2 linked regions of the Caenorhabditis elegans genome follow. The protein of the gene in region 1 interacts with the protein of each later gene in a pairwise test. Each region holds a gene or a part of one and is shown on either strand. Other genes may lie near its edges.

Region 1 (4,908 bases):
AGCGATTCAAACAAAATTTTTATTCGAGCTAGACGTTGCGATTTCTGGCATCTTGCTGGCACATCACTTGACCTTGCGAAGAGCTTTTCCCTCATGATCATGCCCGATTTCATGTGTTTGAGTTTGCTCGACAATTGAAACGCGACGAGCGCTTGGACCAGTAGACATAGCACTCTTTGCTGGAGGCTTCAATCCTGGAAGAGCTTGACGGTATTGAGACGCAATGCCCTTCACATCCTCGTTCATTTGCACAGATGGTGGCTGCATAAGATTGGTTGCCAATGCCTGCTTTGCCCATTGCTTGGCATCAATCGAATCGGGACGCTCGACGACGAAAGTGACTTTTCCCTTTTCTTGAATGTTCTTGACGAGAAGGTCTCTGGCAACATCCTTGTCACTGACTGGAATACCATCAACATCACACAAGTGATCTCCAAGAACGAGACACTTTTCGGCGAGTGATCCAGGATCAACACGGGAGACAAGCACACGATTCTGAAATAGATATATGAATTTCCTAGAATTTATTTGATTTGATTGATTTCTTACCTGGAAATGCTTGATTCCCAAACCAAGTTTTGGTCCATTTTGAACCCAAACAAGAGTTGCCAACTCATAGACGTATCCTTCACGGCGTTGAATGATCTTTGCACGATCTTCAGGAATATGAACACGAGCCTCCAACTCTTCGGCCTTCTTCTCATCGCGGTTCACCATAATTTTTGCACATGGAGCTGCAAAGCGAAGTGCACGGAAAAAGTCATTGCAATCTTTGCAGTTTTGCCCGTTGACTTTTTTGACTTGGTCACCAATCTATAAAACTTTTCATAGAATAATGGTTAAACTTTTGTAGAACTTACTCTCAACTTTCCTTCGGAAATAGTTCCAGCCTGGATTTTAGTGATGACAAGCTTGTCATTCGGAGTTGCACCAAGTGGTTCTCCTTCTTCCATATCGATACAGATCTCGATCATCTTCTCGGAACCCATGCTTCTGCTCCTTTGCTTCTTGGCTGCTTTGGCGATTCAAAAGACGATTGATTCAAGATTTCGGACGAAATATGAACAAAACTGACGAAATCTGGACCTTTTATGCTGAATTAATTAGGCCATAAAAAACAAGGCCCAAAGGTCATGTCACGTAATCACTTTTTCGTCTAAAAAACTCTATTTTAAAGTAAAAATATTATTTTTTGTTTCTAACAAAAAAAAATATAAAAAAATATTTTCAACTATCTGAACTTTCAAATAAAAAAAATCCGTCCCTACGAGTCTCTCATAAAAACATTGACCTCTACAAAATTTGAAATCATTAAATGTAAAAGGCAAAATCAACCTTGGAGCAATTTTACGAGCATTAAAAAATGTTTTCAACGAATTTTTTTGCTTAATTTTTCATTGTATTCTTAAACTTAAGGTGATCTGTGTGTTTTTTTTTAATGACTAATACTATCAAATGAAAGATCATAGTTAGTAACAAAATTCTCATTATTTTTTAAAAAGATCGGTAAAAACCTTTGAATTGCAATCCTAAAATTCTTGACTTTTTTATTTTTTATTTTCTTCATTTTTTCCTATCTTGTGATGTTACAATTACTGTAAAACTTTCTGATTTCAGAAGGTTCAAGGGAGGACCAATATCGTAAAATGGTGTCGCCACGCGCCGCGCGATTTCGTATGTGCGCCTTTAAGGTTACTGTAGAAAATTCTGTTCTGCAATTATTTTCACACTTTTGCTTTTTTATGAACTTTTTCACTATTTTTCGCGTTTAAAGTGTTCAACTTGTGATTTTTAATTTAAATAACTGTTGTTTAGTGTGAAAATTGTGTTTTTGTTGTAAAAAATTAAAGAAAACTCTCTGAAAAGTTGGATTCTTCCCGTTTTGAAACCATTTCTCTTGAATAAATATTCTTAAAACAAAAAATTCATTATTTATCTGCCAACGAAAATAATAAGAAATTTCAGCTTATCGGAAGTGGTACCAAAAAGATGAAAAAAAGAATGACGCGGAAATCTTTACGTGTTAACGTGAAACGTGGCGAACTTTGCAACGGCCCGCCCGACTCACGGTTTTATTCGGATTGCAAAGCAACGTCAAAATGTTCGGTGGAGACGTGAGCGCTGCTTCCGTGTTGCCGTCTCATCCGATTTCTGGATCATGTGATGGATTTCAAGCCGAAGGATCTGATCATCATCATTCCACGATGACTCCATTCCAAGAGAGTCAAAGGAATGTTTATCAAATTTTGTATGGAGTGAGTTTCAGCTACTTTTTCATAATTACATCGCTTTAATAATTCATATTTTTACAGCATCCGGCAAACGACGATTTTCCGCGCCCTATAACACCACTGCAGATCACAATTCCCGAAGGAGATGCGTCACCGACTGTGCCAGTTTCCTGTGGTGTCGTGAATGGAAAGATGCATCTCAACCTGTTCATGTGCCCTGGGATTCATCAGCCGTGTATTGAAGTGGGAAGTTCGTTATTTTATTTATTTCAGATAATTTAAAATGGGTCTCATAATATAATTATTTTCAGACGATCTTCTTTCTCCGAAGCAGTTCACAATCCGTGGCGACAAAGAGCGTCAGAAAGATTGGAAGGCGAGCATCCGTGTTGGAAGATCTTCGTTGAGGTGAGCATCAAGACAATAATCCCTTAAAATACTTCTGTTTCTCAAAACTTTATATTCTAGAACTCACATGGAAGCAATGACCATCGACTTCTACGAGCATATGAATCGATGCAGTGGAAAGTGTCAAAGCAGAAATTATGTGAATGCTCCATCTGAAGAGGTGCTTCAAGCTCGGAAGTCCAAGAGAACATCTGAAGCCGGACAACTTAAATATGAGATCGAAAATGAGATGGCTGGAAAAGAGGCGGATAATGATGATAATAGAAAGAGTACGACCGATAATTCTACAAAAGGATCTAGTTTTGACATGTTCTCTCAATATTTTTCATTAAAATTTAGGAATAATATTTGTTATGTCTAAAAATAACTTATATTTTAGTTGGAACAATCGGAAAAGTGCTCAAATATTGTCTCAAAGTTTGAGATTTGTGAGCATCTTTTCAACTATTCCAACTTAAATATAAGTTTTTTCAGATAAAGGAAACATTATTCTATATTGCTAGAACATTCTAAAACTAGCTCCTTTTGTATAACTACCAGTATTCTGGAAACATATCATTTTTCAGGCGCCAAAAAAGCTCGTGGACGTCCACGTGGAAGTGTCAACAAGCCCAGACAAATGGTCAAAATGGAGCCACAAGACGATCGTTTCTTCGAGGAGTTCTTCATTGATGCGCCACCACTGCAATCAATGTCATCTAATGAAGAGCCAACTTCTTCAAATAAGGAATCCAATGAGTGCACGCCATTCAATGATATTCTCAATTGTCTGCAGAACGGTAAGCTATTTGACATAACATTTATCACTAATTTATTTTTATTTCAGATCCTATGAATTTCTGGTCTCAAATGCAACAAACCGGTGTTATCGGTCATTTCTGCGACGACATCATTGTCAGTGCAATCAATCTGAAACAATCCGTTATGGATAATCCTGTCACTCCCACCACTGCCAACATGCTCACTCGTACTGCATTCGCTCTCGGAATTCCACCTGTCGTTGTTCATCGTGTTCAATCGATTGAACGAAACGCTTACCAACAGCGGAAACATGACGAAATGTTTAACGATATTCAATCAACTTTGGCCGAGGAGCACAGTGTCAAATATCAGCCGAGAACATCATCTTCAAGTCAAGAGAGTCTTCACACTGCTCGAGAATTTACAGAAGAGAAGGTTGAGGAACTTATTGATGTTTGCAAGTACGACGATTATCCAGAATCTGAATGTCTTCCAGGACCTAGTCATATTCAATAATTAAACAATTACGGATTTAATCCACAAACGCACAAATAGTGTGTGCATTTTTTCGTATGTATTTTAGAACTTCATGTTTTATAGAATATAATTAAATTCTGATCCAGTGGAATAGCCCACTGCTTACTTGTGAGCTTTCCCCCCTCAACATACCGGTGAAAATTGTTTGTAGTTCTTCTAGAATGTTTCATGCCTTTATAATGAAATCGTGTTCATTTGAAATTTCTATTCATGTTTTACAAACTCTTACTCGTCACAACGTAATACTGGAATATCTTTTAATTTATGTTTATTTTTTTTATATTCAATTTTCAACCTCATTCTTTTGGAATTAAGACGCCTTCATCAACAACATTATTGATTGCGTCGACTTGATTCCAAAAAATGAGTTTCACACGAATACTCATCAAAGTGTCATGGCAACAAAGAGATAGAGACGAAAATATATCATTGAGCAAACAACAAGCTTTCAGAAGGGCACAATCGGTTTTCAGATGAATAGAATTTGTGCTAATCATCTGCTAGCGGATTTTGTTCTTGAGAGAGATAATACTCCGCTCATAAGTAAACAATTGAGAATTAAATTCGCACAAAAGCATAAATCTTCATTCGCGAATATTTTTATTACTGTAGGGTCTCGCCACGAACAGATATTTTCTGTATGTGTCCCTTTAATTGAACTGTAGCTTTATCGATCGGTCGAAGGCATCAGAAAAACTTTCTTTTTAAATATATATTTACTTCATAACAATTTCAATCAATTTGTGAATTTTTTACATTCTCTTTGGATTCTCAGTGTGCGAACTGCCTCGTTCCCGCGTTGACAACGAGAGACAAGAGTCGCAGACGACTAAACATCATTACGAAACTCCGGTCTCCCTTCGACCCTTTGTTTAGCAACGAGGACTTTTGAATTGAATTGTGCTTCTTGTTTGAATATATTTTATTTTCTCCTGCTTTCTATTATCTAAAATTGTGTTTTAATTACAGGGAAATGGATGTACCATCATCC
Region 2 (5,121 bases), on another chromosome or scaffold:
CTTGTGAAGAACTTTTTTAGGCCAAGTCGGGGAATATTAAAGAAAAATAGACTAAATCAATTTAAAAATGAATAGGACGAAAAACTAAAAATGTAGGACATTCCATTTTAGCGGAATTAATATAGTCCAAAGGAGCACAAAATGTAGTCTAAGCACATACTCTCTACTTATTTCTAGATCTGAGCTGAAATCTAATTAATTCCACCTTTACGTATTCGCTGTTGCCATTATCTCCCTTTTTTCCATTTCACTCAAAAATTGCGTCACTAGCAATATAATCTGTGTATATGCGTTTTTCGACATATCTAGTGTTATGTTCGTCATAACGTGAATTTGTGTGTATGTGATCAACGGAGTTCACATGTTTGAGCGTCATAAATGAATCGTTAGTGAATTTCAGATTGATAAAGATATATCGAATAAAGATTAACTAAGTAGTGTTTAACTGGTTTTCATACTAAATTTCAGAAAAGAAAATAGGCATTTTTTATATATAATTTTCCGTTATTCAAAAAAAAATTAAAAGGAAGAATCGTTTTTCTATCAAGTAATTAATTGTTAAACGAACAATTTATAGGCCAATTTTTATTTCTACGCGGAAAAATGTCTGAAAAATTGACAATTAGTGTTCCAATTTAAATGGCAAAGAGTAAGAGCATCATAAAAATTTTTTTCACAATATTTTTTTTTGGAAATGATAGAAAATTCAGAACATTAAAAAAAACGGGTTTATTCGGAAAAAATGGCTCAAAAAAGCCGAACTTGATCTCTTTTTTAGTCATCATATTTCGCAATAAATGTCTTTCAGATTTCTGTTAGAAAATCGTAGTAGTTCTGAGAAGTGAGTCACGGTGAACTGAGAAAATTCTAAGAATTCCAGAATAAAAAAAACACCCCGAAGCTGATGACGGAGAGTAACAACAACAAAAAACATGTGCTTTAACAGAGAAAGCAGTCTTTTCTAGAAAGAGCGGAGTGTGTTCTTTGTAGGTCATTCAGGGGAGACAAGGACATTACGGTAGAGGAGATGGAAAATAAAGTAGTAGAAGGACTTGTGCACTTTGACAGGCAGCAACTGATTAAATTTGTAAAGACCGGCTAACAGAACTACACGTGAACTTTGAGATATTAAAAAGTAAACAAAAAGGGAAATGGTTCGAAAGTTTGTTAACAAATCAAGAAAATAGATTTTTACAAATATCATGATTCAAAAAAATTTTGTTGGGAATTTTGGTTTTTACAGAAAAATTTGAAACTATTGTTAAAATTAGTTTTTAGTTTTAAAAACCAGATTTTTGAGGCTTGAAAATTTTTCCCAATATTTTTTTTTATCTTTCAAAAATTTCATAAGTTAACTTTTAAAAAAAGGGAAATTGTTCCGTTCATTTTTTAATGTTTTTTTCCGGATTTTCGGTAATTATTTTTTAATTTTTTGTTTTCGTGAAAAAAAATCGGTCGACTCACCAACTAATTGCTGATGATGATGGTGAGCCTGCTGTTGCTGCTGCTGTTGAACCAAATTCTGAAGATGGTGGTGCAGAGCAAAGTGTGGTGGTTGTTGTATTACTGAAAAATTAAAAAAAACATTACTTTTTTATTGAAAAAAAAAACAATTTTCAACGTTTAAAACATTATTTAACAAACCGTCAGATCGTGGCACAACTGCTGAATAGTGTGGTTGTGCCGCTTGCGGCTGATGATGATTGTGATGGGTGGCGGCAGCGACGAGCTGGTACTGTACCGATGGGTGAAGCTGCTGGTGATGTTGATGGTGAGCGGCGACGGCGGCCAGCTGGTGTTCCGGTATTATTGGGATTGCTGAAACAATTCTTGATTAATTATTGAGTTTTTCGGAAAATCCTCTGAAATTGGCTAAAAATTAGACAATTTCATGTGAATTATATGAAGAGGTACTGAAAATTGTTGAAACTTTGTTTTTTTTAATGATAAATTTTACACATTTTTTAGCTAACAAAGCGAAGAAATTGAGCAGAAAAACAAAAATTCGAAACGAAAAAACAAAAACTTTTTTAGAATTTCTCCGATCGTGACGAGACCTACTGCAAGAGACAGTTTGGGCGCCTTTAAATCTTACAGTACTGAACTATTTGAAAATTCGTGTTTCGGGAGCAAACAATGGGGTTTGGAAATTTCGGTTAGAATGAACATTTTAAAATAAAAAATTTGTTTCAATTAAATATTAAAAAAAGATATCTTAGGCACGAAAATCGAGAAAATATTATAAAATGTATGATTTCTCGAATCGTGGTGGAACCCAGTACGAAACTAAAGGTATGCTCCTTTAAAGTTTACAGTACTTTTAATTAATTTTCATTTTTCGATCAATAATTCAACGGTTAGGTTTAAAAATTAATTATCCATTTTCCAAACTAGTTTAATTGTTTAAAAAGAAAATTTGTAGACAAATTGAACTGGATTATAAAAGCAAATCAACTCTAATTCTAATACAAAGATTAGCGAGCGTTATTTTTTTCACATGAATGAGCGAAAATCTCAATTTCTTAGCTTATTAAAAAAAACAATAGGGTCTCCCAACGAATTCCACAAAGTTCGTGGCGAGACACACATTTCCGGACATGTAAAACTCAATTTGTTTTAATTTTTCCACAAAAACACACCCTGACTGAGAATCTGTTGCTGTCGGGATATAAGTGCGGCGTGTGCAGCTGCAAGATCGTAGAGCTCTGTAGATGACGAACTACAGCCGGATGAACTGCTTGATCCTGGAATTTCTGGACTTGAAAAAAAGAAAGAAAAAAGAAAGAAGAAAAAAGAACATGAAAAAGTGAGGCGGAACTAGTGTTATTCATTCATGACGAGAGAGGACGCCTTCTTTTTTTTTTGTTTTTTTTCTAGAGAATTCTGAAAAAAAGGAGGAAATAGATGAAGAAGGAAATAAAAGTTGTTCTCCTCTCGGAAAACGAAATTGTGCCAAATTTATCAAGCCAACAAAAAAATTTCCAACAAAAAAACCAAAAATGGTTTAATAACGAAATTTTTCAATGTATTATTTTCAGGAGAACTGCCTATTTAAAATATTTTATGATTGACAAATTTAAGCAATACAGAGGCTCATAATGAACATTTTTTGTAAACATGTGAAAATTTACTCGGGGAAAAGGCACCCGCAGAATTCGTCCTCCGTGTCTTTCTGAGACGAGTAGAAGGAAAGTGAATCGTCATCATCTTCTTCTTGTTCTCGAGAAATATAGAGATAGTACGCATCCTTCCCCCTTCCCCACGACACCATCACCACCCAACACCGTCTTCCTCAATACGCGTCTACGATTCATCTCGGATCTGTAGGCGAGTGAGCGAGCGCGCACGCACCCCTCCACTGTGTGTGTGCTAACAGGACTGAGAAGAGAGACCTCACTACCTGTCGCCACCAGGCCCCCGGTACCATGTACGTTGAGGGTGATGACCCCGACCTCCCCAAGGACCGTCCCTCGGGATTTCGAAATTTTTTATTACTCTGTTACTTTTGGGGAACGGGAAAATAACAAGAACTTCTGATATGTTCTGATATGAGGATATGTGTGCGCCATGTGAAAAATTAGTTATATAAATTGCTAGCATATATCATTATGAAGACTAACTTCAGAATATCACATTAGAATTAGTAGTGGTTCAGACTTTTTCTGAATTCCCGGAAAAAGTGTCCGGGAATTGAGCAGAAAAGTACACATTTTCTAAAACGAGGCTCCTCGAAAGATAAGGACAACTAATTTGGAAACACCTTATTCTGGTACTTTTGGGGGCGGGGAGAGGACAAGGGAGTAAAGTAAAGCTGGAAAACAAGTGCTAGCATACAGAATAATGCGAAAAATTTACAATTTCATTGGCAAAAAATGAGGAAATGCAAATATCGAGGAAAATTATAAAAGTTCGTGGTGATTTGAAATAAAAAACCACTAAAGTACCAAAAAATTTGCCGTGGCAATATGGCAAAACTTTCAACAAAAAGCATACTGTATATATGAGAACGTTGACTACAGCTGATCGCGAGTAGCAAACTATGAGATGCACAAAGAGCAAGAGAGACGAGAGAGTGTGTGGCAAGGAAAACGGCCACCCAGCAGCAGCAGCAGTAGACAGACCCCCCCCCCCCCGCGAATTCGAATATTATGTAGCAGTGGTCACTTTCTATTCGAGATAGTCGGGCGAGACACAGAGAGCACGACGGCGTAGAGAGTGGTCAAGGGTGTGGAGACGCAGAGAGATACGGAACGCACTCTCATACATCTGACTGACCACTCAAACGGACGCAGAAGACCGAAAAGCTGCGAAGAAGAAGAAGCAGAGATGTGCTCCCCTAAGAACCAACTACTACTATTACTACGATGTACCCCATCCCCGTTTCATTTGGAATTTAAAATTTTCAACAGGGGTGTCTGTTGTTTGGCATGCTGACAGTTGGAGCAAGGATGTCGTTTTTGGCAACAAAAAATCGAAACTCTGATTCTCCAGAATGTTTGTTTTCTCAATTTGTGGTGCCCCTAATCGGAACTTTCTCTAAAAGCCGGGAATCTGATTCTCCAAGTTTTATGTTCGAAATTTCTGAGCCAAAACTCAAACAAAAAACTTGGGAAGTCTGAAATTTTGTAAAACTCGAAGAAAAAATCTAACAGATCCGGTTCTACAGATGTTGTAGTTCCTTTACATTGTGGGCTCTATCTACAAAATCTGATTTTTTGTTTTTTATGAAATATTTCATATGAAATGAAAATTTGATCCGAAAATAAGAAGGAAAATTAGCAAATTTGATTCTTAAAAATTTGCAACTCACTAGACTTCGTAAAGTTTCTAATTCCCAAATTTTTCTGACAAATTATCGAAAAATAACACTGGTGAATCTGACCCTTCGATTTTTTTATTTCTCTATTTTTGTAGGGCTACGATATAAAAACCAGTTTTTTTCCGAATTTTGATGAAAATTTGCTGTGAACTCTAACTTCATACTTACTAGTTCGAACGAATAAAATTCCTGGAATCCTAAAAAGCATCAGAAAAGACAAATCTTGAAAGTTTCCGAGTGAAATAAAAAGTTCGAAGAAAAGCCATAACACACACACACCCACATACATATATATCCAGAAG

What was found.
Region 2: the proteins of spe-44 (region 1) and lit-1 interact in binary tests that used the Caenorhabditis elegans proteins (3 or more experiments, as listed by UniProt).

The regions. Positions count from the first base shown.
Region 1 is NC_003282.8:12,451,273-12,456,180, reverse strand, and holds spe-44 (Transcription regulator spe-44), read left to right. Parts: upstream 1-1,965; 5' UTR 1,966-2,099; coding exon 2,100-2,255; intron 2,256-2,312; coding exon 2,313-2,481; intron 2,482-2,542; coding exon 2,543-2,639; intron 2,640-2,699; coding exon 2,700-2,908; intron 2,909-3,205; coding exon 3,206-3,418; intron 3,419-3,465; coding exon 3,466-3,896; 3' UTR 3,897-4,118; downstream 4,119-4,908. Other genes in the region: smz-1 (PDZ domain-containing protein), read right to left, coding at 64-495, 550-813, 861-989; Condensin complex subunit dpy-26, read left to right, coding at 4,891-4,908. UniProt on the Caenorhabditis elegans protein: Transcription factor which controls spermatogenesis and sperm cell fate by regulation of sperm gene expression.
Region 2 is NC_003281.10:13,712,195-13,717,315, reverse strand, and holds the start of lit-1 (Serine/threonine kinase NLK), read right to left. Parts: upstream 3,272-5,121; coding exon 3,132-3,271; intron 2,759-3,131; coding exon 2,640-2,758; intron 1,819-2,639; coding exon 1,645-1,818; intron 1,567-1,644; coding exon 1,465-1,566; intron 1-1,464. UniProt on the Caenorhabditis elegans protein: Has a role in the Wnt signaling pathway controlling the asymmetry of cell divisions during embryogenesis. Operates in the AB and EMS cell lineages influencing cell specification.